Diceros bicornis minor: one gene and its partners. The protein of the gene in region 3 purifies or fractionates together with the protein of the main gene of each other region. This does not show direct contact. Links are inferred from orthologs where the notes say so. Each region holds a gene or a part of one and is shown on either strand. Other genes may lie near its edges. The genes, in order: SERBP1, YBX3, RC3H1 and CNOT10.

Region 1 (7,886 bases), about 86 Mb from region 3:
ACATTTGCAAATCATATAACTGATAAGGCACTTGAATCTAGAATATATGAAGAATTCTTACAACTCAATAATAAAAAGATAAATATACTGTTAGAAAATAGCAAAGGATCGAAATAGACATTCTTCAAAGATATAAAAATGGCCAATAAAAATGCTCAACATAGGGGCCGGCCCGGTGGCTCAAGCGGTTAAGTGCGCGCGCTCCACTGCGGCGGCCCGGGGTTCGCTGGTTCGGATCCCGGGCGCGCACCCACGCACTGCTTCGGCAAGCCATGCTGTGGCGGCGTCCCATATAAAGTGGAGGAGGATGGGCACAGATGTTAGCCCAGGGCCGTCTTCCTCGGCAAAAAAAAAGAGGAGGATTGGCGGATGTTAGCACAGGGCTGATCTCCTCACAAAAAAAAAAATGCTCAACATCATTAGCCATTAGGGAAATACAAATCAAAACCATAATGAGATAGCACTTTACATCCACTAGGACAGCTATAATCAAAATGGCAGACAATAACAAGCATTAGTGAGGATGTGGAGAAATTAGAACCCTCATAATCGTTGGTGGGATTGTAAAATGGTGCAGCCTCTTTGGAAAATAGTTTGGCTCCTCAAAATGTTAAGCACTGAGTTACCATATGACCCAGCAATTCCATTCCTAGATAAATATCCAAGAGAAATGAAAACGTATGTCCATACCAGCCCTGTAAACAAATATTCATAACAGCATTATTCATAATAGCCAAAAAGCAGAAATAATCCAAATGTCCGCTAACTGGTAAATGGATAAATAAAATGTAGTGTATCTGTACAACAGAATATTACTCAGCCATGAAAAGGAATGAAGTACTTGATACATGCTACAACATGGATGAACCTAGAAAACAATATGCTAAGCGAAAGAAGCCAGTCACAAAAGACCACATATTATATTATTCCATTTATATGAAATGTCTAGAATAGGCAAATCTATGACACAGAAAGTAGATTAGTGGTGGCCTAGGGCTGGGGTTGGAGGGAATGAGGAGTGACTGTTAATGGGAATGGTCTTTTTGGGGTGATAAAAAATTTTTAAAATTAGATAGAGGCGATGGTTGCACAACTCTGTAAATATACTAAAAACCTTTAAATAGTACCCTTTAGATGGGTCAATTATATGGCATGTGAATTATATCTCAATAAAGCTTTTTTTTTTCCTCTAAGAGTTCAACGTAGAAAAAAAGGGAAGGGAAGTTTAAAATCAAGAGGATGAACCTTCAAAGTAAGGTTAAGGTGGCAAAATAGAGAGTGTAATATTTCTATTTTTAGCTTTGATAGTCTAACTTTAGCAAGAACCTCGACTTGTATATTACACCTAGCATTCTATCCTCAGACATAGAGGATTTGCCCTTTCCTACACAGGTACCAGTTTTATTGCTTTTGTTTTAAAAATACATTATATATTTAGAGTACAGTAAAAATTAGAGTCTCTTATTTACATTTATGAGGTGCCTGTATCCAGTGTCCCCAAAGTGTTATAAGGGAATAACAGTTTTCTCTTGCTACAGGTGGTAGCAGCGTAAGGATGAAGGACTTTGTTCCCTGTACCGTGTCGCTCACAAGTATGATAGCAGTGTGAGACCCAACTGCCTGGACTCTTTCAGGCAGTGTGAATTTGGGAGAGGCGCTCAACCTCTATTTCCCTATCTGTAAAAGGCGGGTACAGGTCGTAATACTGTTTACTTCATAAGGTTGCTCTGAGAATTAAAGGAAATAATGCATGTAAGCTACTTAGCACAGTGTCCAGTGCATAGTAAATGCTCAAATTGTAGTAGTTGTTAGTAATTATTATAATAATATAGCAGCAGTTAGTAACAGGGAATTGAGATGATTAAGAAATGGGTAAAAACAAGTTGTAATGTGGTTGAGAATTGAGTATTAGGATCCTAAAAGCAAGTGAGGGCTGGAAGGAGGTATAATATTCTGTTTCTCGGTTTCATTATCATTAGGCGGCGACTATATTGGATATTTAATTAAGATATTTGGATAGTTTTCAGCATTTACTGCTGGAAAATTCTTTAGAGAGCTTGCTATAGATAAGGCTGTGAAGTTGCATGAGTATTTTTCAGAGAACAATATGTGAGTCAAGTGTTGCCACAGACAGCTGATATTTTAGGCTACATTTCTAATCAGTGGTATCTTATAACTTGTCCCTTTACAACTCATGCCTTTAATTTGAATAAGAGTCTGCCAAGAAGTCTTTTTTCCTCCTCCCTTGAGGTTTATTCGGCCAAGATTTTTTCTATCAAGAGTAGCAGGAATTTTTAAATATTTTTAAAGACTATTTTAATTTCTTAGGGGAAAGAAAATACTAGTGAAAATAATTACTTATAAAATAATAATTGATTGTGAGACATAAAAGAATTACCATTTTGAGCTTTATTTGTGTACTTTAAAAATGGGCTTTAAAACTTTCCTGGATTAACCAAAATTCCAGGTAAGAAGAAACAGAGAGAGGGAAGTTGAAAGTGCTTACACGTTTTTTTCCCCCTTTCCCCAAATGTTTATTCATATTTTTAGGTTATAGTAATAGGTAAATTCTCTGAGGAGCGTTAGCGACCCTCAGAAATTCACAGCCATACAATTCCCCTATGTGTAGCTTACCTTTAAATATTCTCATTGTCCTAATGCTTGGTGGTCATAAAGATCTGCTTGAGGAAACCAGGGATCTGTACATAGGATAAAAATAACTAAGGACAGGCCTGTTCCACTCCCTAGACTGTGGTAGGAGTCGGGAAGTTACTGAGTCTGTTTGTGTTTCATTTTCCTCACCTTAAAAAGACAGTACTAATACCTTTCTCACAGAGCTGATGTGGGGTAACACATGCGAAGTGCATCAAACACATAGTGAAACATCAAGTTTTAGCTCTTCATATTGTTGTGGTGGCAGTGGCCCGAAAGAGCCAGGAAGGAGAGAACTGGCAGACTCACAAAAGTGCAGATGTTAACAGCCCCTGGTAAAGAGAAAGCCCCTGGTAAAGAGAAAGGGTTGGTTCAAGCATGAGATCTTCCAAACTGCACTTGAGCTATTTTCAAAGGGGCACCAAGAGCATGGCCCAAATCTCCCTGTCTTTCAAGTCTTGGGAAGATAAACAAGAGCCAGATGTAAGGGGGTGTGTGTGTGAGAGATGGGGGTGTGTGTGGCAGGAATGAGGCAACAGAGGAATAGGTGACTTTGAGGACTGGGGGCTGCATTTAGAAACAAGAAAACCACCAAGCTTGCTGCCACATGCCTGTAATATGACTCTTATTTCCCTGTGAAGGAATTGATTTAAAATCTTCTCAGAAGTTGATAATACTACATTCAGCCATGTTATATACACTGCCTGGCATGCAATAATATTTAAATCTTATTAAATATTGAAAATTGATTAATAATTGACTGACTCCTATCAGGAGGCAGAGTCTGGATGAAGGAGTTGATGTTAATAGTGTCACAGTGGAGTTAGAAGACCGTCAACTCCCGGCACTAGCACTAGCGCTTACGGAGGTGTGAACTTGGGAAGTCATTTCACTTCTGAAATGGTTTCATCACCTGCGAAAAGGGGAGACTACCTACCTAACAAGTTGTGGTTGAGATTAAGGTTATTTATAGCACCTGGAACATAGAGACACACTTTCTGTTATATTTTGTGTTAATGGAAAAAGGTTTAAAAATGATGACATATTGAAACACTTACGGTGTTACCAAATATGCTTGAATACGCATTGACACTCTATTACCTTAACGGGCTTTAATTTTCTCAACTAACTTCAATGCTTTTAGTAACGACAATTAATTCGACAATTAATATTTTCCTCCCCTCCACTGCCCCTCAGCACACTACACACTGAGATGCTATGAAGTGTTGTTTCTTGAGCACGTTTCAGTAACACCTAATCGTTGGCTTGCCGGACACTAACGGACAACTGGATTGACTCTAGAGAGCGCTTCTCCAAACAGCGCCTCTTGGAGGCTTGCCCAGGGTCTAGTGCTGCGGCGTCAGGAGCTAACATCAATTAGAGCGCCGGTCGCGACGGGCATCTCCCGCCGGGAAAGGCGCGCAGCTCTCCCTGCGATCGTCCACTGTCTTCTGCGTTAGCTCCGCTACCCGCGTTCACGTCCGCGCGAGCGGAGGCGTCTGCCGCCTCACGTTAAACAGAAGGGCCTCGACTCAGTACTGGGGATACAGGACGGCGACCCCAGCAACTGAGCCGCTAGGGACTTGGGACAGGTCGCCCCCGCCTTGGCGAGGCCGGGGCGGCCCCCCGACCCGAGCCCCGGAAGTTTGGGAGTCTCCAGTTGTCGGATCTGGGAGTCACCCTGACCTCCGGGGAGGTGGGGAAAGTTAGCCCCGGACCGGAGGCGAGTGAGTAAAAGCAAAGACAGAACTTTCGCGGGCAAAACCCGCCGTCACGTTTCCCTGTTTCCAGCGCAGCCCGAGACGCCGCGAGTTGAAGGGCGGCGAGAGCAGGTGGCAGGACTCCGCCCACCACCGCGCTTCCCCTCCCTCGGCTCGCGTGCTCCTCTCTCTCGGCGAGTCCTGCCTCTTGGGCGCGCGCGAAGAGTGGTCGCGCCCTGCATTCTGGGAACTGTAGTCCTGGCGCTGGGAGCCGCTTTGGGAGAAGCGACGCTGGCCTACATACCCCATGGTGCCCTGCGGCGCAGGCCGCTCCCGGATGTGTGCCTGGCGCCGGAAGAGAAGACGGCCCCCCTCTCTCGGCCCGGCCATCTTGTGGGAAGAGCTGAAGCAGGCGCTCTTGGCTCGGCGCGGCCCGCTGCAATCCGTGGAGGAACGCGCCGCCGAGCCACCATCATGCCTGGGCACTTACAGGAGGGCTTCGGCTGCGTGGTCACCAACCGATTCGACCAGTTATTTGACGACGAATCGGACCCTTTCGAGGTGTTGAAAGCAGCCGAGAACAAGAAAAAAGAAGCCGGCGGGGGCGGCGTTGGGGGCCCCGGGGCCAAGAGCGCAGCTCAGGCCGCAGCCCAGACCAACTCCAACGCGGCGGGCAAACAGCTGCGGAAGGAGTCCCAGAAAGACCGCAAGAACCCGCTGCCCGCCAGCGTCGGCGTGGTTGACAAGAAGGAGGAGACGCAGCCGCCCGTGGCGCTGAAGAAAGAAGGTAGAGCTGGGTCGGAGGCGGGGAGCCGGGCAGAGGGAGGGAGCGACGGGCTCGGGCCGCCGCGTGCTCCTGGAGCCCCGCGGCCCCGGAGACCTGCCGCCGATGCCTCACGTTCCCCGGCAGAAGCCCGGTCCTGCGAGGTGCGGGGAGCGCGGTGCCCGAGCGCGGCCCCGGGCCCGGGGTCGGGAGCTGGCCGCGGGCTGCAGCCTCGGTAGTGGCGGGGCGGGCGGCGCGGGGTGCACGGCCCGTGCTGCTCGGCGTGCTGCTGGGGTTGCAGGGGGTGTCTCCTGCCATCTTGTCCCCGAGGGCGCGGAGGACCCGGTGCAGAGCTGGGGTCGGAGGCACGCCTGACTCCTCCGTGTTCGGGGCTCAGTACGGTGGAGGAGGCTGCTGCTTTAGGGCCACACGTGCTGTATTGTCCCCTCGCCCCGTCACCTGTTAGAAGCTCAGTCACTCGCGGGGGGAGCTGAGCTGTCGGGGCGGAGGGAAATGCGGCTGCAGGTGGGGCGGGAGCGGGAATTCTGAACGAAGGCTGCGGTTGCAGGAAGCCGCCCTGAGGCTGGCGCTGGGTCGTGGCCCTTGTCCCGACCCCGCACTCAGTGTGCCCCGCGGGTGGCTGGGCTCGTGGGGGGCGTGCAGAGGCTGTCAGGACGCGCGGCGCCGCACGGCTCTGGAGCCTGCAGCTCCTCCTCCACGTGTGCGGGCAGCTCGGGCAGGATTTCAGTGGCGGGTAACTGTTGCTTCCAGGTCGCTGGGCGTCACAGGATTTCGTGAGCTTGAGTTTTGCGTTCTAACTCATTACGAGTTTGTCTTTGGTGGTGGAGGAAAAAGCAAAACCGTTGGGGGTAAGAAAGCATCCGTGACAAATAGCAAGGTGCAGGACCGAAGCTCTGAGTCCTTAAAGTTGCCTTTGTACGTTGAAAGTTGAAATTACCCTCTACTGCCACGTGCTCCTGAAAGGGCTTGTTTCTCATTAGCTTTAGTTCAATTCGGTAGCATTAAACTAATTTAAAAAATCAAAACAACTGTATTTAGGCTTTGGTTTAGGATTTTTTTTTTACATATAGAAGTTTTGTGAGGCTTGGAATGAAGAACCCAGGTGGTGAATAAAATAAAAGAATTCTTGTATTAAAAATACAGGTTGGAGGGAAGCACACGCTGGAGTCTTAGAAAGCATGTGTGTGTCACTTAGGCCGAATACCTGTTCAGTCAACTAAGCTTCATAGCAACCTGTAGTACAGTTGACTAAATCATTGCGTTTCTCTGTTTAGGAGCACTGGCTTGGGTGATTATTTAAACTATGCTCAACTTTACCTCCTTAATCACGTTAATCCAAAGAAAGCACATGAAAAAGTTGAGTCTGAAGTATAAATCTAAAATGTACCAGGTAGGTGTGTTCACACGTTTTAAGGTTCAAAGCATGAAGCATAGTTTAAATCCCTCAGTTGTTTTGATCATAAAGCCCACTTTTGAAATAAGCTTTTATTTAGAAACTAGTATCTTAAGTTCCAAAAATAGAGAATTGTCTCCAGTTTATAACCAGCACTGAGTTTGTCATTCAGTAGTTTTTCTTTGGGAAAACTTGCATAATAGCTATCAACATTTTTCTTAGATTAGCCTTTCACAGCACTCTTAACCTTAAATTGTGTAAAACATAGGCTTATAAATATAGGGAAAATGTTGCATGAAAAAGACTCATTTTGAGATCCTGCTACCTGTCAGTGGAAGTTCTGGGCATTGGGGAAGGAGAGACCTGTAAACCAAGTTCCTGCCTCTTGTGGGAAGGATTGTTACCCTGATCCTGTGCTCCGTGCCTTTGAATATAGGTCCTAGCACAACGCTGGACATAGCTTCGATGTGTATTTAATGTTTGTATGAAATAGTTGTGTAGCTTGTCTTTTGTTTATTGGGAGAACTTGAGAACCGACACCACACACTTGCACTGCGAGTGTAGATCAAGTTGTTTTTTTTTCCTAATATTAAAAGCCTGGAATCTGGTGAAAATCAAGTGAGCTTGGCGGAGTATGTGTAAATAATGTTGAGAGAAGACTGCATTTTTAAATGTCAATTATTGGATGAATTTATTTAGTAAGTTTTTTAGATTCTGTAACCCTAGTATTGAATATTGGGTGGGGAAGCAAGCCCTTGTTCATTTGGGTGTGTTTGGCTTGGATATCATCATTATAAGGACTGGTTCCATAGCTCCACCCAAATACACTGTACCTCTGACGAAATTTATTAAAATGCCTTGGCGTAAGATCTGCCATCTGTGGTCTGTCCTGAGAGTTTATGTGGAACTGACCTTAAAATTTCATTGAAGAGTTGATATTTACCATTTGATTCTAGTTACAAGCAACTGAACAATTGGGTGCATCCTCATGGTGTTCCACGTCTTAGAACCAGAGTGAATCAACTTAAGATCTTGTTGTAAAACCAATTCCTCAGCTGCTTTTTGACTGTCAGAAATGGTGGTTTGGCAATTACAGCATACCTGAAATTCTAGTCATGAATTTCAATCTACTTATCCTTAAGACTACTAATAATGCATATTGGTTGCTTTTGTGGGCCTCAAACACTAAGGAAAAAAGTAATAAAGGGGGAAATCAGTAAGGTTTCAGCCATCACTTAGTGCCACAAGTTTCTATTTCTTGTGTATTGCTTAAAAGGAGTCCGTGTGTGTGTGTGTGTGTGTGTGTGTGTGTTTGTGAAGTGTCTTTGAAAACAAAGATACTTGTAAGGGCAAACCA
Region 2 (7,484 bases), on a different chromosome or scaffold from region 3:
ATGGATATTGTAAATTAACTTTATTTGCATATTCTAGAACTTATCAGTGACACCATCAAATACAGTTATCCAGAATTTTGGAATTATGATTCATGCCAATTCTTTGGATATTATATGTCATAGGGAAGCTCAAGCAAGCCTAACAGGTAGCATCATCTTGATGAGTTACCACAGACTGATGTGGTCCAGATTGCAGGGCCAAGACTTTTTCACAATGGGCTTCTGGAGAATTATTCAGGCTAAATTCCTAGTTGTCTACAAGACTTGTACAAGTCAATATGGTAGCCACTAACCGCACTGAGCACTTTAAAGTGGCAAGTCCAAATAGAGATGTTCTATAAGTTTAAAATACACACCAGAGTTTGAAGACAGTACCAAAAGAAAAAGAAAAAAAGGAATATAAAATATATCATTAATAATTTTTTTATTGATTCAATGTTGAAACGATAATATATATTTTGGATATATTGGGTTAAGTAAAATGTATTAAAATTAATTTCCTCGGTTTCTTTTTACTTGTTTATTCTGGCTGCCAGAAATTTTAAAATTATATATGTGGCTCATATTTGGGGCTCAAATTATATTTCAATTGGACAGTGCTGGTCTATACCATAAGCTCCTTGACTACAGGGGCCGTTCTGGTCTTGATTTGCATGATATCCTTAGCACCTAATGTGAATAATCAATAAATATGTTGAATGCATTATTAGTGAATGCCAAACAGAGACTTATAATTAGGGTAACTTCTCCCCTGAACATTGCTGGTGACCATGAAAAACCTTTGCTCTCTTATTCCTCTACTTTTCTACTTTTTTATTCCAAACTGAACATTTCCCTTCTGCGTTGTTTTAGCATCCATTAGGTTCAGATTAATACTTCACTGTTTCCCAGCATTACCAGATACGCTAATATATCAATGCTTCCATGTCTTAAGGCTCTAGTCCTTTGAATGGTTTCAACTCTCCTTAATCTCCTTAGCCAGTTGCATTTTCTGCTTTAGGGTGATATGCTGGATAGTCTCTTATCAACTCAACATCATCCTTAGCCTCTTCAAAGGCAGGAACTACATTTCCCAGAATCTCCTTTCCTGTATGGTTCCAGGTTGGAACCTGTCAATGAGAGGCACTAGTTCAAGGTTTAGAAGGCAGAAGAGAGAATACCATTGTTTTCCAGAGTCAGTTACAGGAAGATGCGTGGGCAGATAGAGGTTCAAAGTTGCTTCCAGATAAACTTCTTGAGGAACTCCAGCATCTATGTTGCCAACCATAATAGCTAGTGTGGGGTGAACTCATGGTGAAGCTAAGGAAGTTTAAGATGAAGGGCTCTTTTCTCACATGAGCCCTTTCTAAGACTCTGGGTGTGCCTTCAGCAATTTTATGTTCAAAATTTTATTTGTTTTTTCTTGGAGAGAGCTCTCTAAATTGCATAAACTGTAAGTCTCACAATACCTGGCTCTACCCCTGAATGGTAGAGAGCTTCCCAGAGATCTTATGATTCCAGTGGCTTCAGGAGAGCTCCTGAGAACCATCGACTTTGGGGCTGGAGTCCGAGATCTTCAGTGAAGCCTCTCTTTCTCCCCTCCAGCTCTTCCAACAGTTGTGGAAGCTCTAACTCCCTTCATACTAAGAACAGTGTAGCTTTTATTTCCATGACCAAATTGGTCATTGCTTAAAAATGATTGCCATGAACAATTAGATTATGATTCTTTTTTTTCTTCCACTTAATCTCAAATTTAAGAAATGAGATTTTCTTACAATAGAAATGATAGTGAAAAAAATGATTTAACATCACAGGAAAAAAACCTCAGAGCAAGCTCCATTTTGACCAACATTGGATAATCATAATGTAGCACTTTATCTGCCTTATAGTGTGTGCTTAGTAAATAACTGCTAATGAGTGAGTGCATGAATTAATGAGTGAGTGAAGGAATGGAAGACTTTATTTGCATCTGTATCCAAGTTGCTCTGTACTCATATTATTAAAACATAGATCATGGTTGTTTTAATTAATTCTCTCTAGATTTATTTAGCACAATACCAAGGACTTGCAACTGCTTGCTGCTTTTTTTGGATGAAAATGATGAGTAGTTTTGGGAGCCATTCCAGCACAAAATTCTAGGAAATCCGAAGATACATCTGTAACTATTTTAGGGTCTTCCAGAGGTTGGAGATCACACCTGCTGTTATGAATTGTTTTCCAAGGGTGGATATACATATATATATATATATATATATATATATATATTTTTTTTTTTTTTTTTTTTTAAAGGGCTGGACTATTAGATTGGAGTTTGAAGAGTTCAAGTCCTCTTTTTTTTTCTTGGAATCCAATTCTGCATGATAAATAGCAATAATAATCATTTTGTTTGTTAAAGTCAATGGCCAATCCTCACCAAAATAAATCATGCTTATAATTTAATTGTAAGACTATAACCTTTAAAAATTAAGAAACAATTTAATCATGCTTCGAATTAGACCAGCATTTTTTAAACACACACATATAGTTAACATTACTGTACGCTCTGTATTGAAGTCAAACTAAAATATGAATGTAACATTTAGATGTTTGTAATTTTTAAAATATAGATGAATTACATGGAAAAGTCAAAAATTCTGTATTTTGCCATTTTTTTCTAAGAATTTCTTTTCTCTTTTTTTTTTTTTTTTTGCTGAGAAAGATTCACCCTGAGCTAACATCTGTTCCCAATCTTCCTTTTTTTTTCCCTCCCCAAAGCCCCAGTACATAGTTGTATATTCTAGCTGTAAGTCCTTCTAGCTCTTCTACATGAGGCATCACCATAGCATGGCTACTGACAGACAGGTGGTGTGGTTCTACCAGTGGAAACCAGGCATGGCCACCAAAGCGGAGCACCAAACTTTAACTACTAGGTTATCAGCACTGGCTCAGAATTTATTTTCTTTAATTTGTATTTTTCATGGATGGAATAAGAAAGTAATAAGACAGGATAGTTTCATAATTATTGATAATGAATGTGTTGATAAGTAATGGAGTTTGGAGAGGTCTTCTTGTTTGCTTGTTTTCATTGATAAACATTTCCTGTGTTCTAGCTCTATGCTAGGTACTGTGCTAACCAGGGCGGATACAATGATGAATTACACTTGATAGCTACCTTCTTGATGCAGTCACATAACAGACAATTCCAGGAAAAAAAATAGGTAAATGGTATAGTAGAATAGGTAATGAAAAAAAGGATCTTTTGTTAGACCAGACACTGCAGTTACATATAATAATCTCATCTACTTTCCATAGCACCTTTCAGAAACTCTCATAGACGAGGAAACCTACTCTGGGACGTAGTATTCCTAGCCCAACTTAACGAAGAGCAGCACTAGAATTTATACCTAGGTCTGTCTGGACCCTAGAGGCGAACACCAAATAGTCCTGTATTCCAGGAGTTCTTGGCTACCGGTCACAGTCCCTCTGGCCATGTGTTTAGCATAATCCAGTCCATTCTCTAAAGGCCATGTGGGCTCTTCAAATGGGAAAACGTTTATAGGGTGATCGTTTCTCTGTATTTCTCATTCCTGAGGCTAAGAGGGCTCCGTTGCTTAAGCCTTCACCAGCTGGCAGAGGCAATTGCAGCAGAAGGTAGGATGTGGATTTATTCGGGTTTGTTTCAGTATCAAATACATATTAACAGCTCATTATTTGCTGCTGTTAAATTGGTGTAAACTCTTTTTACATGAGTTCTCCGAGGTTTGGACCTCAATTCCTCATCTGTGGGTTATAGACTAAATAATCCGTAAACTATCTTTCAGGAGTAAGCCAAATAGTCGTAAGATCTTAACTGCTGTATCACAGTTTCTGGTGCTTCATACATGTTGAATGAATAAATACAAAGGATTTAAACACAAGTGTTTGGGAGGGAGAAGCGCAGCGAAATTTGGATGCCCTATTTTACCTCTCCTAAAGGTCAGTTTCTGATGTCAAGATGTCGTGAGGAGGGAGAGCCCCTCTGCCCCGCTCCAACAAAGGGACAGCAGCGCTAGCTCAGAAAACTCCAGATCACAATGCAAACCTCAGATGCACCCTTGCTTTCCCTGACTCGCCAACTCGGCCCCTGCGCCCCAGTCCCGGGCGGCCTGGTGGGTGGGAAAGGGCATCAGGCGCCTTTAAATGCTAATGAAGCCGATGCCCAACTCGGGAGCCAACTTTCTCCACCCTCTTCCCTCGCCCGCCCTTCCCTCCCGGGCCGGTGCGCCGCCTAGAAAAACTTGTGCGGGGCCATTTTTGGGGCAGTAAGATCGAGCGAGGAGCCCAAGAGCGAGCGCGCAGCCCCAGAGCTCGAGCCGCCTCCGCCGCGAGACCCACCTCGGCCGCCGCCTGCGCCGCGCGATCCGCGCCGGCCTCCCCGAGAGCGAGCCCCGGCCGCCGCGACCACCAGCCGCGCTAACCGCCGACCAACCGCCACCAAGGCGCCCGAGTGAGAGCAGACGAGGCGGCATGAGCGAGGCGGGCGAGGCCACCACCACCACCCTCCCGCAGGCTCCGGCGGAGGCGGCCCCCGCGGCCCCCCAGGACCCCGCGCCCAAGAGCCCGGTGGGCAGCGGCGCGCCCCAGGCCGCGGCCCCGGCGCCCGCCGCCCTGGTCGCAGGAAACCCCGGCGGGGACGCGGCCCCCGCCGCCACGGGCACCGCGGCCCCCGCCTCTTCGGCCCCCGCCGGCAGTGAGGACGCGGAGAAAAAAGTTCTCGGTGAGTCAGGCCTGGGAAGGTAGGGGCTGCTGCGAGCGGGGCGGGCTGCAGCCGGCCGCCGAGCGCGTGTGGGCAGCCCCCGCTGCATTTCCCACGGGGGCGGGCCAGCTGACAGTGCGGGGTCCCCGGGGACCTCGGGTCCCCGGCGCCGTGGCCGCAGCCCGCCCGTCCTGCAGGCGCTCCCAGGTGAGCGCGCGGCGCCCTGCGCTCCTCGCCGTCCGGGGCGCGTCCCGCCTGGGCCTGGGCCTGGCCCGGCAAGTTGGGGGTCTTAACTGTGGTCACTTAGGCAGGCAGTGTCGCACATTCCCTTGTAGAGAATGCCTCTGTCCCTCTGTCTGAAGGGGAAAGGAGCGGCAGTCTGGGAGAGGGGACCCAGGGGAGGGATGGATGTGGATGTAGGGGAGGGACAGACACGTGGGACAGGGACTTTGGAGTCCTTGGTTAGGATTTGGGTGAGGAGAGGATTTCTTTTGGGGACGAGTCAGGCCCAAAAGGAGACGGGGAGGGAAAGGTGGAAAGGCTTCTTGCTGGGAGGGCTCAGGTGTCTGTCCCTGACGCCCTTCCCACATGGGCATGGGAAAGACGCCATGCTTCTGTCTGCCACATGCCGGCAAAGAGGTGTTGCAATCCTCTCTGGGAAACTTGGGTCTCGGTCCCACGTCCTCCTCCCTCTCTGTATCCACTGCTGGCGCAGAGAAGCATTCAGTGTAGCAATCGCTACACGTTTTCTTCTCCCTAAACTGTGGGAACGCACTTGGTGGAGCAGCTGAAAAAACTTGGGAGTGTGGGTGTGACGTTTGTTCAAAACATCGTTATCTTGGGACTTGTAACTTAGGAAAGGAAACAGGAAGATGAGAAGTTCAGGTTTTGGAGGCAGAGCATTAGAAAGGGTTTCTGTGGTCGTTTGGGTTTGTCACATTTTTCAGCGGTCTCTCCTTAAGTAACGTCCTTTGTGAGGCCTTGAGGCTTACAAAGCAGGTGGGTGGTGAATAAGCTCTCTGAAGAATGTGTGTATCAGTTTTTCTCTTTTAAACAGGAAAGTTAAGAGAATGGTGCTGGATACTCCAGAGAAAGTCTCAGTATTTTGGGTGGGTTGTATTCCATCTCTCTGATCCTTACCTGCCCAAGTTTCTAGAAGGAAAATTGAGAGAATAATGTGAAGGAGGTTTAATACTATTCCATGTTCCCCACCTGGACAGGCCTGTTTTGTTTTTCCAGGGCTTTTACTCAGTTACTGCCAAATAATATGTTAGATGTAACCTGTGTGGGTTAAGAAACAATGTAGCCCTCATTTTGCTGGACTAAAAATCGCTTAAATCTACTCAGTATTTGTATTGCGATGTTGTTTCCAACAAGTGTTTCTTGGAACACTTCCATGCAAAATGCCTGATAGAGACAATTTTGGGTTATCCAGCATAGTGTTAACATATGCTCTTAGCAATAATTTATTTTTGTATAAAGGAAATTTTGCAGTTTTTCACTTGATCCTTTTACCCTTCTGGATCTAAACTAAACTTCTGGATTTTAAACTAAAGCAGATGTTCTTAAAGATGAAAGAAACAGATAAAGTTCATTTCCTCAACCACCAACTGTTATTAAGCCTCTACCACATCCCTGGTGATGAGTCTGGAGGTCTTTCATCTTTCCACAGTAACTCCGACTCTCAAAATGAAGGGCAGCCTTCTACATGACATTTCAACACTGTCTCTGTCCAGTGTGTTCTGCCATCTCCTTTCCTTTGCCAGACAAACACACGGGTGCCTAAAATGTGCCAGGCACAGGGCTGACTGAGATGGAATTCTGGTTTTGGATTCTCCCGTTACAAACTGTCTTGAACTTTCCCATAGGCCAGGGAAAGTAGTTTACCTGAGTGAAACAAAACTTTCCTTCTAATGAACATTGTGGAAGCCTTATGGTCTTCCTCTGTTCCCCTTTCCCCTGTTGTGTATGTGAAATGAGTTTGTGGTTTTAAAGCAGGAAGTGTGCATAAATGTGTTTGGCTATCTGAAGTCAATGGAAATATTTGTAGAATTAGGAAATTTTTTAAAACTACATTGGGGAGTAAAAATAACCTTCAGCCTGGATTGAAGTTAAACTTGAAAATCATTTTTCATCTTTTTTCCTGTTATATTAGATTTGCCTTTCTAATCAAGATTATTCCTTTGACAGTGCTAGACATTAACTGTATGAAAATGAGTTGAAAACAGTTCCTATCCTTGTATTTTCCTAGGTCATTAATTTTGGGGCATATGAAAGGAGGCGCAAAAAGCATGTCTTTTGAAATAATGTGTGACTTAAAAGCATATGATTTATCAAAAACAGGCCTCTTCTGTTGACATTTTAATCTAAAACATAAAATGTTTTTTCTCCTTTGCCCTGCTGCTCTAATTAGAGTGGCCTAGAAGTGAAGATTCCAGTGGTTTAATCTCTTGATTGGAGAGACCTTCCTTCCTTGGAAATAGAGCTGCAGATTGCTCAGTCAATGGTGGACTGAATGACTGTGGGGGCATAAAGAGTTGTTTGTTTGTTTTCTTTTTACAAAGAGAGCTAAAATACTTTCTGAAGCGTATCAGTCTAGCAAAACTCAGAAGTAAGCCTGCCCACAACAAAGCAATTCCTAATTACTATTTTAGTCTTGAATTTAAAAACTGAATCCTTACTGTTTATCCTTAGAAATTATAAACTTTGTGTCTCATAAAGAGGCAACATGGATTAATGTTAATTGTTACTTTCATTCTCTACTAAGCATTTTTTTAAGGTACTCTATTGT
Region 3 (7,708 bases):
TCCTCTGCATTATCATCCTTTTTTTGCTCAAGTGTTGGCGAAGTGAGCAGACATCACCAATAGTAGGAAAAGTGGTATTCTGCCTTTAATGGGATAAATTCAATCACTATGACAGATAGTGTGTTTATATTATTTGTAAATAATATATCACACAGCTTCCTAAATTCTGAGCAGGGAGGAGCTCTTTTTAGTTGCTAACACCCTCCTGCTACTCAGATTTCAGCTTCTTTTTAGAAGACCTATTGATGTCTTTCTATTGACTGGAATTTACTCCCTTTGAAGTGGGCTAAATCTGTAACCTTCTCTTCAACCTGCTAAACAGTACCTCCAGTCCTCCAAAGAGCAAATTTCTAGCTACCACAGAGGGGTTAGGTTAGCATGTGCTAATCTAAAGTCTATCTCTTGGATAGCCTTTCCCTCCTCAAATAGCCAGGCCTCAGTCCCCTGCTAGAAAAAACAGACTAAGCTGTTCCTCCTGCTTTTCCTCCTCCTCCCTTCTCCTCACTCCTAGGGAACCTTCCACAACAGAAGGTTTTAGCGGCTGTTGCTAGGCAAACATGCCAACTTCCCTGTTTAGGTGAAGCAAGTAACCCAACCTCCATTACAAGCAACCTAGATAATATAATTTCTTTGAACTATTTATAGTTGTACCTCAGTTGGTAAAGCCCCTTCAAGGTTTCCTTATAAAATATGATTTTTAAGTTACATTCATTTTTATTTCATCAATATTTCAGTTAAAAATAAGTTCAAAATGGAGGGGCTTCCCAAAATTCATTTTAATAATATAATTAAAAAGAAAAATTTGGCAGAAAAAGAAGAGCAGCTTTGAAAAAAACACCTAAGTGTTTACATAAAAACTAATCTATGAGAAGTCATTTATATGCTTTGAACTCCCCAATTTGAGTAGACCTATAAGATACAGAGAATAATTTGTCTCTTGAGACTGCATCTATTTTTTCCCTGATTTTTCTGTTTAAAATTGTTTGCTATTGTTATTGATACATGATATTAACATTTTTCAGGGTGTTGAGAGTTAATATAAATAAGATCAAATAAGACATTTGAAATTTAAATTTTAGATATGTATATATTTAAACTTCTAAACTCTTAAAATAGTATAATTTGTTTTAATTCCGTGAAATTTGTATTAATCCAGTGAAACAGTGTTTGAGAATATCCTGAGGTAAGATACATTAAGAATGAATTACTAAAGACAAACAGCTTAAATGTTTTATAGTCATTTGTGCTTAGAAATCACTATTTTGTAGCTTTAACACAATTTAAACAATTTAGTTTTTTTTTGTATTTTATTATTCAATTCTAATATGGAATACCTAAAAATTTAAACTCTTGCCCCAGCCTCCACCACTGATATACTGTGAAAATTAAATGAGTCATTTCACATAAAGGACTTAGAACAGTGCATGGCCCATAGTAAGTACTCGAAGGATTTTTTAAAATCCATTTTATATATGTCATTATAGTCTTTAGTTTCTTGATCAGTCAGATGAGGATAAGAAGTCATCAAATACGTTTTTGCTCTTAGCATGAACTCTAAAAAAATATTGATGCTGTTTTTTAGATGACACACAAATCAGTTAAAATAATTACTTATCAATTTTTTCAATGTATTTTCTGATTTTCTTTTTTTTTTTGAGACTAATCTATGTTTTTTAGGTTATACTAAGTAATTTTTAAGCTGCCGTATGCTTAAATATTGCTCTAGAATGTGCATACATTTGTCAACCTAAAGCATCGTTTGTTATATTAAGGCTAGAAAAGACCTTAGATACCAATCCACTTATTTCAACAAATGAAACAGAGACTAAGAAAGGTTGGACAGATCGCATATCTACCCCACTCCGTGTTTATAGATAAACATCATGCTGTTGAGGAAGGAGTTATCGAGCAGGAAGGGCTGGGGTGGGAGGAGAAAATACAAAGATGAATGAATCATGTGTCCCTTCCTTAAAGAAATTTAACAGTCTAGTAGGAGGATTACAATAAGATGTGCACATAAACAACTAGAATATAAAGTAGCTTGGTGATTATTGCATAGTAAACATAAGGATCTATGAAAGTTAAAAGGAAGAAATAGTAGGAATCTTCATTCTAATGTCACAGCACCTACCTTTTGACAGGTGGCAATACTATGTGTGATATTAGATATGTACCCAGAGGCAAAGAAGTACAATCAGCTCTCAATTCAGGGCAGGGTGGGGATGAGGAAGGGTAAGGAATGGGAAATTGGAGGGTATGAGAATAGAGTTTGGATTAACTAAAAAACCTGGTTAAAGTACAACTGGGACCTGAGACCTCTCCTGTGTAAATCATCCATGTAGGAAGAGGGAATAACATCCTCAAACGTGAACATATGCACAAAATAGGGAGTACTGGAGCTGACTCACTTGGATTTTCTGAACTGCTTTAGATAAAGTAAAGGTGGAAGGCCAATTGAATCCTCTCCATGTTTCCCACCTTCCCCTCTCCCTATACGTAGATTCTCCATAAACTACTCCCTTCCCAGCCCACACTCCTATTACCAATGTTCATTAAGATAAATCTCTAGAAAATAACTAAGAAACAGAGAAAGATGTCCCAAGCAATTACACTGAGGAAATATGAGGAAACCAATTGTTTCTGACCTACCCTTCACATTTATAGTCCAGTCCCAAACCAGGCCCAAGTCAGCATCTGCAAACTAGGCCTAAGGGGTAACAATGCAAAGTAATCATGACAGATATAACCCAAATTCTGGGATTTCTGGAGCTAGGTCCCTGTAGACTTGATTCCAAGAGGGCTAAATAAAATGATGTTTCTGGGTCCTACCTGAAATTGCTTCTGAACTGACCTACCTTCCATGAAGGCCTTGAGCCCAATATTGAGCATCTCTGAACTTCAACTGACCTCCTGAGACTTATTCCAGGGTTATAGTAAACAGAAGGCCTTTATGAAAGAGACATCAGACACTTTCAGCAAACAGGCCCATTCTAGGCAGTACTTTAAACAGTGTCATGAGAGAAGGCAGCTCCACTTTTCACTTGGCAAAACTCACCAGAATATTGTTGGTTTTCATTATTGTATTAGCTTGCTAAGGCTGCTCTAACAAATATCACAGAGTGGGTGGCTTAAACAACAGAAATTTTCTCACAGTGCTGGTGGCTAGAAGTCCAGGGTCAAGGTGTCAGCAGATTTGCTTTCTTCTAAGGGGTCTCTCCTTGGCTTGCAGATGGCCATCTTCTTCTCCCTCTGTCTTCACATGGCCTTCACTCTGTGTCTGTCTGTGTCCTAATCTCTTCTTATAAGGACACCAGGCATATTGGATTAGGGCCCACCCATATGACCTCATTTTACCTTAATTACCTCTATCTCCAAATGCAGTCACATTCTAAAGTACTGGGGGTTAGGACTGTAACGTGAATTTGGGAGGAGGGGACACAATTCAGCCCATAACAATAATAAATGCTCACTTTAAGAATATCATACTTATGAATAAAAGGCACCTTTGTGAAGGTACAAATTTAAATCTACCTGGTTAAACCTGAAGTTTTTCTTTTTCTAATTACTCTTTGCATCATAAAATATTAATGCTTTGGGGGTATAAATTAGCAACAACATATAGGATACTAGAATAAAAAAACACTGATTACCAAAATTATCTGAGTCATACCACAATGAGTTACCAGAAAACAGATACCAGACCGTGAATAGACTCAAGATTAATGTGAAAGGATTAACCTTTGTTTATATAGCTAATGATTTGAACCTCATTTAGAGCTCTGTCTGTCTAAATAAGCAATTGTAGATATATTGAAGTCAAATACATTTTGTAACCAAATGATATTCTCTAGCACAAATGTATGTTCAATATCTCCGGGCAATATTAGGTTTCTCATATCATGAGTAGCTGGTTAAGAAAAAGTTGGACATTCATGTATAAATCATTCAAGAAACCAGAATTTGAAAGGTGTGCTTTAAGCAAGATGGAGCAGAAACTTCTTTTTGCTCCATGCTTTAATTTCTAGGATCTGGACTTGGGGGAGTCTTTGGAGTTCTTTATGATGTTCCAAGAGGTTAGTTTAGGGATGGAAGAGGAGCTCTGCTACTTGGAGGCAGGTCAGGAACCAGATAGGAAGATGTCGCTATGGTAAACTCCTCATTGAAGACAAATATCCAGCTTCATATTACTCCATGAGTTTATTTCCCTTTTGTTATTCTCTAAGTTTGAATAAAGTCCTATGTGAATGTTCCAGTCTTTTCTCAGCTGTGCTACCTTCTATCAATGGGAGAGTTCTGCAACTGTACTTAGGCCACTCATTCTCATGCAGGGTGGTGTAGCATTGGTAGTGGGAAATACCTACAACTCCCCCAGAGGAAAAGCAAATCTTAAGGGATAAGAGACAGAGCCCTTCTCCATCTGGATATTTTTCTTCTGTTGCCAATCTTGGACAGGCAGAAAGACCTAGTACAAACCCTTGCTCTACCACTTATTAGCTGTGTAAGCTTGCACGAGGTAACTTTAGAAAGCTTCAATTTTCTTTACTATAAAATAAGGATTGTAAAATGTATCTAAACTGGTTTTTATGGAGATTAAAATGAGAAAATACATTTAGAGCATCTAGTACAATGCCTGACGTCTATTAGCCATTCAATAAATGAGAGTTATTAAAATTATACTAGGTACTGTGTGTTGCATTAGGCTGGTGATTCTCAATTTTGCTGTGAACTTTTAAAAGCTGTATATCTCCACCTCTGACCCTAGAGATTCTGATTTGGGGTGTTGGTGTGGGGCTAGGGATCTTTTCTTTTTTTGGATTTTACAGGGGATCCCATCCTCTCATCCAAGGTGAGAACTACTGACGTAGATCAACAGTCAGCAAGCTTTTTTGGTAAATGACCACATAGTAAATATTTTAGGCTTTGCAGGCTATACGGTCTCTGTCACAACTACTCAACTCTGTCATCGTAGCATGAGAGCAGCTATAGACAATATGTAAACAAATGACCATGACTATGCTCCAATAAAACTTTATTTACAAAAACAGACAAAAAGAGATGGTGGCGGGCTGGATTTGGCCTCCAACTATTATTTGTCAACCCTGTCTCATATGAAGAGAGATTTTATTTGCTATAGCCAGGGAAAGTATTTTATTATTATTATGTTCAAAAGCAGCATTAAAAGCTTTACGTGTAATGACCAATGTTTGGTGTTAAACACAATTAATTAAACAGACAGGACTTCTGCCTTCCAAGGAATTAGTAATCTAAAACAACAGCACAGACATAATATTTATAAGTAATCCTGTATAAGTAATTGTCATATAAACATATGACTATACAAGACTAAATGTGAAACTGAGTTCAGAGGTGGGCAGAGTTTCCTAATGCTCTTGATTTACAAATATCACATAAAATAAAAGTAACCCAAGGGCTCATTCAGGAACCAATGTAAGGAGGAGAACAAGGCCCCAGACCAGCTCCCTTTTTTCAGCAGGAGGCTATAAGGGAGCATCTTTTTTTTTTAACAACTTCAAGTTCTTTTTTATTTATTTATTTATTGGATAAATTTGACATGTACATTGTGTAAATTTAAGGTATACATCAGTTTAGGGAGCATCTTTTAAAAGGGGTCCTTTAAATAGGACTTCATGGCTGTCTACATGGCTGAATTTGCCTTCTCTCTTATAATTTCTTCGTTAAAATACATTACTGTCAGATTTATCTTCTGAGGTTAGGGGCCATGTTATGGTTGCAGTTTAATGACACTTGGGACCATTTCCTTTATTTAACCTGGAACAAAGAAAAATGTTTCCCTTTCTCAATAGGAGTAGTAAGCTTAGAAGAAAAGTCACTGGATCAATTTGTGTGTTCGTGTGTGTATGTATGTATGGGTATGTTTAAATCAAGTGATTGGTAATTTAGGAACCTACTGCCTATGATCGTAGAAATGATACAATAGTAGCTGTTGGATAGGGCAAGATTCTCTTATATCTCCTCATATCCCTGAAAGATAGACATATGTAATGAATATTTATAATTTTTTGGCTGCCCGGCATCTTACCCTCCCCTCCTCACACTGTTTGGGAATTTTCCATTTGGGAATTTTTGTGGATGGCAGGATCTCTCCTGCCACTACAGGGGCCAGGAAGTCCAGATACTTGCCTTCTGCCTTCTGCCTTCCACCTTCTGCTCTCCCTCCTTCTGCCCCCACAATAATCCTAGGGTGTGGGAAAGTGATCTAAGCTTGGTGGATCAAATGCCTTCTTAGTTGGGACTTTGAATCTGAAGTGAGTTACACAGAATTAAGTAGAGTTCATCCTACTTGCACCTGTGATACCCAGAGTCTGATGGGACAATGGCAGCAATCCCTGGGATGGTGTCCAGCATCCTCTGGCAATGGCAGTGGTACCCTTACCAGGCAATTTCAGGACGGAATTTAGCTGTGGTTCTGGCTATCTAGCTTCCCTCAATTCCTTTCCTTAACATCAAACTGTGAGCCACTCAATATTCTTCCAGAAAATTCCATTTCTGCTTAAATTAGTCTATGAGATGGTGTAACAAGTAGGAAATCAAGAGATTGCAGAAATATTCCAGTTTCCCATTTTTCATATCGTTGTCTTTTGCCCAATCTAATGGAGTTATCCATATTTTTTCTTTCCTTGGGCCCTGATTTTTAGGACCGTAGTCATTAGAGTCTCAAAACTTAAGATCTATTTCACTTCTGTTAACTCAGTTCATTTGACTATTCCCAAATAATAAGCACTCCTCTCAAGCTTTTGATTTGAATTTTTCACTCATTCTGCCAAGAATGTTTAGTGTCTACATTAAAAACTAATATTGCACAGATTTCTCAAGGGGAAAAGCTCCATGTTAATCTCTCTCTTAGCTAAAAAGTATTACAAATGCAAAGTGTTTTTTTTTCTTGAATTCCTTTTGCTAACAAGAACTTTCCGAATCACGCATCTCATTTGGGGCAATCAAAGCCTTCCTCGCTAAAATTACATGGAAAAAGGATTCTTTTTAAAATTTTTGCCAAAATATTTCAGCTACCACAATTGAAGGGTTCATTTATGGTTCTTTGTTGCAGAGATGTGTAACTTTGTTTCAGCAACATCTAATCAAGTCTCAGATGTTCTCAACTGATGATATAAAAGTCACAGAACAAAATTAATTTGCATCCACTTTAGCACAAACAATCACAACAAATATTTGATAACCTGTTGTGTGCCTGTCACTGTGCTATGGTGATACAGCAGGGAACAAGACAGATTCTCTTCCTGGGGAGCTTATAGTTTAGGAGAGAAGATAGAATACTTATAAATAGTTAAATAACCACAATTTTGAAGGTGAGAATTGACCTAGTCTGAGTTGAGCAGAGAAGACTTCCTCAAGAAAGTGACATTTAAGCTGAAAGCTACGGGATGAGTAGAAATTAGCTAGACCGAGAGAGAGCAAACGTTTCAGGCAGAAAGAACAGCATATGTAGCTGCACCGAGGAGGGAAGAAGTGTGGTGCGTTTAGGGAACTAACAGAAATCCAGTTTGGCTGGAGAAAGCACAGAGATTCAGAGGGAGCCTAGCAAAGAAGATGCTGCAGAGATAGGCGGGTGGCATTGGAAGCCAAAGTAGGAATTTTGAACTTTATTTTAAGATAGGCTCACCAGATAAAATACAGGAGGTTGAATTAAACGTATAGTTCTGATACATAC
Region 4 (7,975 bases), on a different chromosome or scaffold from region 3:
GCCTAATATGTGATCAATCCTGGAGAACGTTCTATGTGCATTTGAAAAGAACGTGTATTCTTCGGTTTTTGGATGGAATGCTCTGTATATATCTACTAGGTCCATCTGTTCTAGTGTGTCATTTAAGGCCAATGTTTCCTTATTGATCTTCTGTTTGGTGATCTATCTGTTGGTGTAAGTGGAGTGTTCAAGTCCCCTACTATTATCGTGTTACTGTCTATTTCTCTTTTTACGTCTGTTAATAATTGCTTTATATATTTAGGGGCACCTACATTGGATGCGTAGATATTTACGAGTGTTATATCCTCTTGTTGGATTGTTCCCTTGATCATTATGTAATGCCCTTGCCTCTTATTAAAGTTTTTGTTTTAAAGTCTATTTTGTCTGATATGAGTACTGCTACCCCAGCTTTCTTTTCATTGCCATTTGCATGGAGTATCTTTTTCCATCCCTTCACTTTCAGTTTGTGAGTGTCTTTAGGTCTGAAGTGTGCCTCTTGTATGCAGCATATATATGGGTCTTGTTGTTTTATCCAATCAGCCACCCTGTGCCTTTTAATTGGAGCATTTAGTCCATAGACGTTTAAAGTGGCTATTGATAAGTATGTACTTACTGCCATTTTTTAACTTTTTTTTTCTCAGTGTTTTAGTAGTCTTTCTCTGTTCCTTGCTCCTTCCATACAGAATTGATGGTCTCTTTAGTTTGACCTCTGTCTGAAAGCTCCACTCTTTAACTCCCTTCCTCCCTCATTTTATGTTTTTGATATCAAAAAACCTCTTTTTTGTGCATTTGTATCCATTACCCTCTTATCATGGAAATAGAGAATTTTTCCTATTTGTGGTCTTTTCTTTTCCCCTTAAATCAGTCCCTTTAACATTTCTTGTAGCACTGGTTTCTTGGTGACAAACTCCTTTAATTTTTGCTTGTCTGGGAAATTTTTGATCTCTCCTTCCATTTTGAATGATAACCTTGCTGGGTAGAGTATTCTTGGCTGTAAGTTTTTTCCTTTTAGCACTTTAAATATATCGTGCCACTCTCTTCTAGCCTGTAGGCTTTCTGTCGAGAAGTCAGCTGATAGCCTTATGGGGTTTCCTTTGTATGTAACTTGTCTTTCTCTTGCGGCTTTTAGGATTCTCTCTTTAATTCTGGACATTTTGATTATGATGTGCCTTGGTGTGGGCCTCTTTGGGTTTATCTTGATTGGGGCTCTCTGTGCTTCCTGTACCTGGATGTCTGTTTCCTTCCTTAGGTTAGGGAAGTTCTCATCTATTATTTCTTGAAATAGATTCTCTGCCCCTTTGTCTCGCTCTTCTCCTTCCGGGACACCTATAACACGGATGTTAGTGCGCTTGATGTTGTCCCATAGGTCCCTTAGACTGTCCTCACTCTTTTTAATTCTTTTCTCTTTTACCTGTTCAGCTTGGGTAATTTCTTCTAGTCTTTCGTCCAGCTCACAGATCCGTTCTTCTGTATCCTCTACTCTGCTTTTGAGTCCCTCTAGTGAATTTTTCATTTCCAGTATTGTATTCTTCATTTCTGATTGGTTCTTTTTTATATCTTCCATTTCTTTGTTGACATTCTCACTGAGTTCATCTGTTCTTCTCCCCAGATCAGTGAGCATCCTTAACACTCTTTGTTTGAACTCTCTGTCAGGTAGGTTGCTCATTTCTGTTTCACTTAGTTCCTTTTCTGAGGTTTTGTCCTGTTCCCTTACTTGGAATGTATACCTTTGCCTCCTCATTTTGCCTCTTTCCCTGTGCTTGTGTCTATGTATTAGGTATGACCAGTTACTTTAAAATGTGTAAAAACAGGACACCAGATTTCAGGACCCCAGAAAGCAAAGTATGGGTTTATACTGAAGCAGAACTCTCAATTCCATGTATATTATTCATCATAAAATTTTAACAATGAACATAATACTTTAAAAATTTTAGCAGAGACTGGGCCTTGGCATATTGGTTAAGTCTGGTGCATTCTGCTTCGGCGGCCCGGGTTCGTGGCTTTGGATCTCAGGTGCAGACCTACACCATTCATCAGCCATGCTGTGGCAGTGATCCACATACAAAGTAGAGGAAGACTGGCAGAGATGTTAGCTCAGGGCTAATCTTTGTCAAGCAAAAAGCGGAAGACTGGCAACAGATGTTAGCTCAGAGTGAATCTTCCTCACCAAAAAAAAAAAAATTTTAGGAAACCTAAAGTGTTTACAAAATTTATCTTCCCTCATAAGGAAGTACACTAAACTTAAACCAAATACCAAAAATTGTTAGTTTGCCATCAAGATATCTCCATAGCTTTTTTTAAAATATACCCTCTCTAGATTAGATGACATTCTTTAATGGGACTTCTGGGCCCAACTGTCAAACAGTGATTTAAATACAAGGTAGAGGGAAACACCCAACAATTCAGCAAGGCATTAAAGAGTTTAAGCTTCTCCTTTCCATTGTTATCCTCTAGGAACAGTAAAAGTCTCCTACAATCTTCCAGGAAAGGAGAGAAGCCAAGACAAATATAAATAAATAAATAAATAAATAAATAAATAAATAAATAAGCAAGCTAGACTCTAAGGCTGACAAGAGACTCTGAAGTTCCCTTTTCTATAGACATTTCAGAGAACTGAGCTCAATAAACAGCCTTTTACATGTTAACCAACCATTATTTTACCTATGTTCTTTTACATCAAGAGAAGCTTTAAAAAAAAAAAAACTCCAATGGGATTACTATTTTTATTTTCTTTATCTGTCTACACTTCTCAAGTTTTCTGCAAAGAATGGGTATTATTTTTGTAATCAGTTTTTAAAATGTTTTAAAAACATACATTTTTAGTAACTGCTGACTTCTTACCAGAAAGAGTCTGCACATAATCCCACAACGTGTCTTTATTTGTCCAAAAGTAGTCTCCATTGCCAATTGAAAGAGTATGTGAGCATTCATCCATAAGCTTGACTTTCCTTCTGCTCTGGCCTAATGAACATGACTGACCTTCTAGGCGTACAGAGCTCTTTGGTGCACAAACCTTGACACTCTTTAAGCTAAAAGGCTTCATTTCGAACCAAACAACTGCCTTTAGGTTTGAACTAAGTAGAAAAGAAACACACTGCTTTTTCAAAACTGAAAAACGTCAGTTAACCGAAAGCACAGACACATTCCAATATAGAATGTTAACAATGCAAATCTGATTGGAGGAAGGTCTTCCATATAAGCTACGCTTGTCAAAATATAGCTCCAACGACGTTCAAGAAAAGAAGTTTTTTCCAAAGAAAAAAGGAATGTTAAGGCCTAAGGAGATCTGCCACACTCACAAAACAGTACTAATGTCTTTATGAAGGAAAGTTTAAAAAAAGAAGGACGCCATTTCCAAGAAAAATAAAGCACCAAAGTCACCATATAGCTAAGGTTCACACACCTAAGCTTCACCCACATGGTTTTCTACCACTGAACAAGTTTATTTGACTTGATCAAAACCCTACATAAAATGGCTAATTTCTACACAGCTCAGAGAAATAACACGTGACCAGCAATGCTACAGACTTGAGCACCCTGTCCAGCACTACAAAAATAAAGGAAAAGAATATCAAAAATCAAGAATATCAGCATGCTTTGGGGAAGACAGGCAAAGCAGGACACTACCACTGCCCATGAGTATTTTTATTTTCATATCTGAGAGTAGTTTTTATGCATAGAAAAGAGATTTACTCTAGTTTTCAAATATTAATACTTGATTTATTGTTACAAATTCAAAAAGCCTAGATTTTCCTCAAACTTTTACATTCAACTTAGACATCTTATTCTATTTGGAGTTTTAATTTTAAAGGGCTGCAATGAATGTTTGATCTCATTTACAAAGTTAAACACCTTCAAACATATAATTTTAACTGCTTTAAATAATATATTTAATTTTAAGTACAACTGTTTGATCTAAAAAGACAAAATTTTCTGAGAACTTAAGTAATTTATAAATCTAAAAAATTAAACTGATGAAAATAGTGACTCAGGAACTCTTTAATGTCTATGCAATGATATCAATATAGCAAGCTTTTAACTTAAGTTCACAAGTATAAATCAATTATTCACTCAATTATACATTTCAAATTAGAATCAAAAGACCAATAAATTACTCTCAATTCTTAAACATTAAAAACACTTAAAATATCAAATGTGGGTCACTATTACATCAACTTTTTATTGTGAAAACTAGTAAATGAAAAGGATGAATTAAGTTTTAACACGCCTTTCTGGGAAGAATCACAGTTCATTCCCAGTTGATAAGGGACAGCTATTCTTTACAGAAACTAGCTAATAAACGTAGACAGTAATAGAACTAAGAGAAGTACCATTCTGCAACTCTCAAAGACATAACTGATTAAGGCAATGATCATCAATGTTGGAATGCTTACATAATGCCAATTACCCCACAGATTACTTCTAATTGCAAATGGAAAAAGATGTTCCTCTCACCACCTTAACAAACTGATCAAATTTAGCATCACTAATAGTGGACAAACTGACATTATGCACTTTTTATATAAAGTATACAGCAACAGCTACAAAGTATCTTGCAAATATGTTAAATCTAATCAGGCCCTTAGAAACAACTTTCAGTTCACAGAAAATACAGGAAATAAGGAACTAATTAAAGGATACAAGGAAGAAATAATCAGATGAATCCAGTGGGATATTCTACAAGAGAAGTGACTTAGTCTCTTCAAAAAAAAACCAGGTGACACTGGGAATTAAGAGACTCAAGAAACATAACAAAATACAATGTATGAACCTTGACTGGATCTCAGTTTGAAAAGCACAGCTTCCTTACAGCTTTAAATAACATTTTTGGGACAACTGGAGATATTCAATATAGTATAAAAATATTAATCTTCTGAAGTACAATAATGGTATTGTGGTTATAGGTGAATGTCCTAATTTTTAAGAAATGCATGGTGAAATATTTAGAGATAAAGTGTCATGATGTCTATAATTTATTTAGAAAAGCTGTAGCTAGAGACAGAGGAAGTAAATATGACAAAATGTAACAACTGTTGATCTAGGTGGTGGGTATATGGATATTCCTTTTATTTTTTCAATTTTTTGGATGTCTGAAATCATTTGCAATAAAAAGTTGAAAAAATATCAAATATGCATAGATTCCTAACCAGACCCTGAGAAAAGTGGATGGCAGGACAGTATTGCATAGTTTATTTCCTCATCTGCACATATACATTTTTAAGTCAATGTGAGCTTGGGTAGGCCTAGAAGAAGTCTAGAAGAACACACAATTCAGTACTGGTTACCTAGAGAGTGAGACTGGGTAGGGGTGATAGAGGACTTAATACTTTTTACCGTATACACTTAATAATAATAATCAGTTTTGGGTGTTTTAAATAAAATAAAAATAGCCTTGGCTTAAAACTTTCTCATTTGTACTTCCTACCATTTTTATGGTCATCCTGGCTCAAAATTTCAAAGCCATCTTTTTTTTTTTTTTTTGTGAGGAAGATCAGCCCTGAGCTAACATCCATGCTAATCCTCCTCTCTTTGCTGAGGAAGACCAGCTCTGAGCTAACATCTATTGCCAATCCTCCTCCTTTTTGTTTTTCCCCAAAACCCCAGTAGATAGTTGTATGTCATAGTTGCACATCCTTCTAGTTGCTGTATGTGGGATGCAGCCTCAGCATGGCCGGACAAGCGGTGGTTGGTGCGCGCCCGGGGTTCCGAACCCAGGCCACCAGTAGCGGAGCCCGCGCACTTAATCACTAAGCCACGGGGCTGGCCCCCAAAGCCATCTTTAAGTAACCCTCCCCTGATTTCATATTACTCATCAGGTCCTATCTTTCCCTTATTCATAATGTTATCAACCTTTTCCTATTAAGCCTACTACGGCCATGCTCATAGTCCAAATTCTCAGATAAATTCAAATCTAGGATTTTGTGTCCTAACTCCAGCCACTTTCTCCTTTCAAATAACCATAAAAAGTAAAGTCAAACAAATCATCCTAAAACATTGTTGGTACTTCCTTAGTCAAAAATGATACTGGTTTCACACGACTTTTATATTTTATACAAGGACATGAACCTTGTGAACCTTCCACTGCCCCTTCAATTTCTGTCTTTGGGTGGTGTTCCATCCACCCTGGGACATCCCTCCCTTTATGGGTTGCTTGAAATACAACTCAGGGTGTGAGAACTGCTGGCTGATCAGTCACTGAGAAGCCACACAACTCAGAAGCACAGGTAAATTAGTTCCCCATGGGGTGAAGCCTTGACGGTCTGGAAACAGGAAATGAGAGGAAGCTGGACAGATAAATAATCCCTTCTTTCTTTCTCATATGGACTACTCTGAAGTGTAGTTTTGCCTCGAAACCCTTTCAGAAAAGTCCCATACGCAAGTGACCTGCTATGTCTCTTAGCTCAAGGTGAAACAGTTGCCAGGGATGTAATGTACTGCATCTTCCTTTGCCTTACCTTCCTTCTCTCCCTCATTTTCACTACCCTGGGCTTGCAGCTCCCAAATAAAAAGTCAGCCACTTAATCGGGTTCTGCTTCCACAAGGATATGAGCTAAAAGGTACACATTACCTCAGCTGATGCTCACAAGCTACAGCCCTGTGAGGTAAATAAATTAGAAAGCTATTAGAAATAAATAAAAAACCAGTAGAATCCCCACTTTACAAATGAAGAAACTGAGGCTCAATTAAGAACTTTTCCCAAAGAGCAAGGCTTTCTGCTCACTTACTATACCTAAGCAGTCACAAATTCTGCCAATTTTACACCCTAAACATTTCTCACATCTGCCTCTCCTCTCCATTCTACCACTACTCTAAAGTAATACTAGCCAGCATTTCAAAAATCAGGGCCTGAGATGATCTCATTTAACTCTTTACCAACCCTGTGAGGTAGATACTATTATCATTCTCATTCTACACACAGGAAAGCTGAGGCTTAAGTGTTCTTAAAACTTGCCCAAGGTCACACCAATATCAAGTGGTACAGCTAGGATGAACCCAGCTGTCTGATTTCAAACCTCATGCTCCTAACTCTTCATCAATTCTCATCTAGCTCAGTTAAAACATAAATCAGATCACATCATGCCCTTGTTGAAACCTCTGTGGCTTCCCACTAGAATGAATTCAAACTTCTTCCTCGGTCTACAAGGCCTGACACAAGCTGGCCCCGGCCACAACTCTGACTTCATCTCTTGCCACGCTTCCTTTGCTCACTAGCAATAAACATGTACTGAGTGCCTCCTGTATGCCAGCCATTGCTCTAGGTGCTGGAGATAGAGCATGACTAAGAAAGGCAGAAGTGCCTTTCCTCAAGGCACTTACATTCAAGGAGTCTTCTTGCTGTCTTTAAACATTTTCCAAGGGGTCTGTATACTTGTTGTTCCTCCCACCTGGCTCATTCTTCCCCCACATGGCAGGTTCTTTATCTTTAGCGTCTCTGTTCAAATGTCACCTCTAAGAAAACCCTTCCTTCTCTAACCAATCTATTCAAAGTAGGGTCCTTGCTCCCAGTTATCCTCTGTCCTCTTCCTCATTTTTCTTTTCTTCACAATATTTATCACAACTTGAAATCATAATTATTTGTCTTTTTTTGCTGAGGAAAATTCACCCTGAGCTAATATCTGCTGCCAATCTTTCTCTTTTTGTATATGAGCCACCGCCACAGCATGGCCACTGACAGACAAGTGGTGTAGGTCCACACCGGGGAACCAAACCAGGCCGCCGAACCAGAATGTGCCCAACTTAACCACTAGGCCACCAGGGTTGGCCCATAATTATTTCCTATTTTGTTTATACGTTTATCTGTCTTTCATACTACATTATAAGCTCTTTGAGGACAGAGAGTTTGTAGTGCCTGGCAGAGCAGGCCATTGGTGAATATTTACTGAATAAATTAATATCACAACATTAGCTGGTCTTAGCTAGTCTCTGGCTTCCAGTCTTGTTTCACTTAAATCCACCCTCTACCACAGCCAGTGTG

The links.
Region 1: the proteins of RC3H1 (region 3) and SERBP1 purify together in Homo sapiens (affinity purification with mass spectrometry, with the first as the bait; 3 studies listed by BioGRID). This does not show direct contact. The link is inferred for Diceros bicornis minor from reciprocal best matches to the Homo sapiens genes RC3H1 and SERBP1.
Region 2: the proteins of RC3H1 (region 3) and YBX3 purify together in Homo sapiens (affinity purification with mass spectrometry, with the first as the bait; 3 studies listed by BioGRID). This does not show direct contact. The link is inferred for Diceros bicornis minor from reciprocal best matches to the Homo sapiens genes RC3H1 and YBX3.
Region 4: the proteins of RC3H1 (region 3) and CNOT10 purify together in Homo sapiens (affinity purification with mass spectrometry, with the first as the bait; 3 studies listed by BioGRID). This does not show direct contact. The link is inferred for Diceros bicornis minor from reciprocal best matches to the Homo sapiens genes RC3H1 and CNOT10.

Annotation. Positions count from the first base shown.
Region 1 is NC_080743.1:6,260,593-6,268,478, reverse strand, and holds the start of SERBP1 (SERPINE1 mRNA-binding protein 1), read left to right. Parts: upstream 1-4,739; 5' UTR 4,740-4,826; coding exon 4,827-5,139; intron 5,140-7,886. UniProt on the Homo sapiens protein: Ribosome-binding protein that promotes ribosome hibernation, a process during which ribosomes are stabilized in an inactive state and preserved from proteasomal degradation.
Region 2 is NC_080756.1:50,253,870-50,261,353, forward strand, and holds the start of YBX3 (Y-box-binding protein 3), read left to right. Parts: upstream 1-4,220; 5' UTR 4,221-4,464; coding exon 4,465-4,714; intron 4,715-7,484. UniProt on the Homo sapiens protein: Binds to the GM-CSF promoter. Seems to act as a repressor. Also binds to full-length mRNA and to short RNA sequences containing the consensus site 5'-UCCAUCA-3'. May have a role in translation repression.
Region 3 is NC_080743.1:92,299,073-92,306,780, reverse strand, and holds the start of RC3H1 (roquin-1), read right to left. Parts: upstream 3,238-7,708; 5' UTR 3,152-3,237; intron 1-3,151. UniProt on the Homo sapiens protein: Post-transcriptional repressor of mRNAs containing a conserved stem loop motif, called constitutive decay element (CDE), which is often located in the 3'-UTR, as in HMGXB3, ICOS, IER3, NFKBID, NFKBIZ, PPP1R10, TNF, TNFRSF4 and in many more mRNAs.
Region 4 is NC_080741.1:36,557,101-36,565,075, reverse strand, and holds the start of CNOT10 (CCR4-NOT transcription complex subunit 10), read right to left. Parts: upstream 3,059-7,975; 5' UTR 3,044-3,058; coding exon 2,842-3,043; intron 1-2,841. UniProt on the Homo sapiens protein: Component of the CCR4-NOT complex which is one of the major cellular mRNA deadenylases and is linked to various cellular processes including bulk mRNA degradation, miRNA-mediated repression, translational repression during translational initiation and general transcription regulation.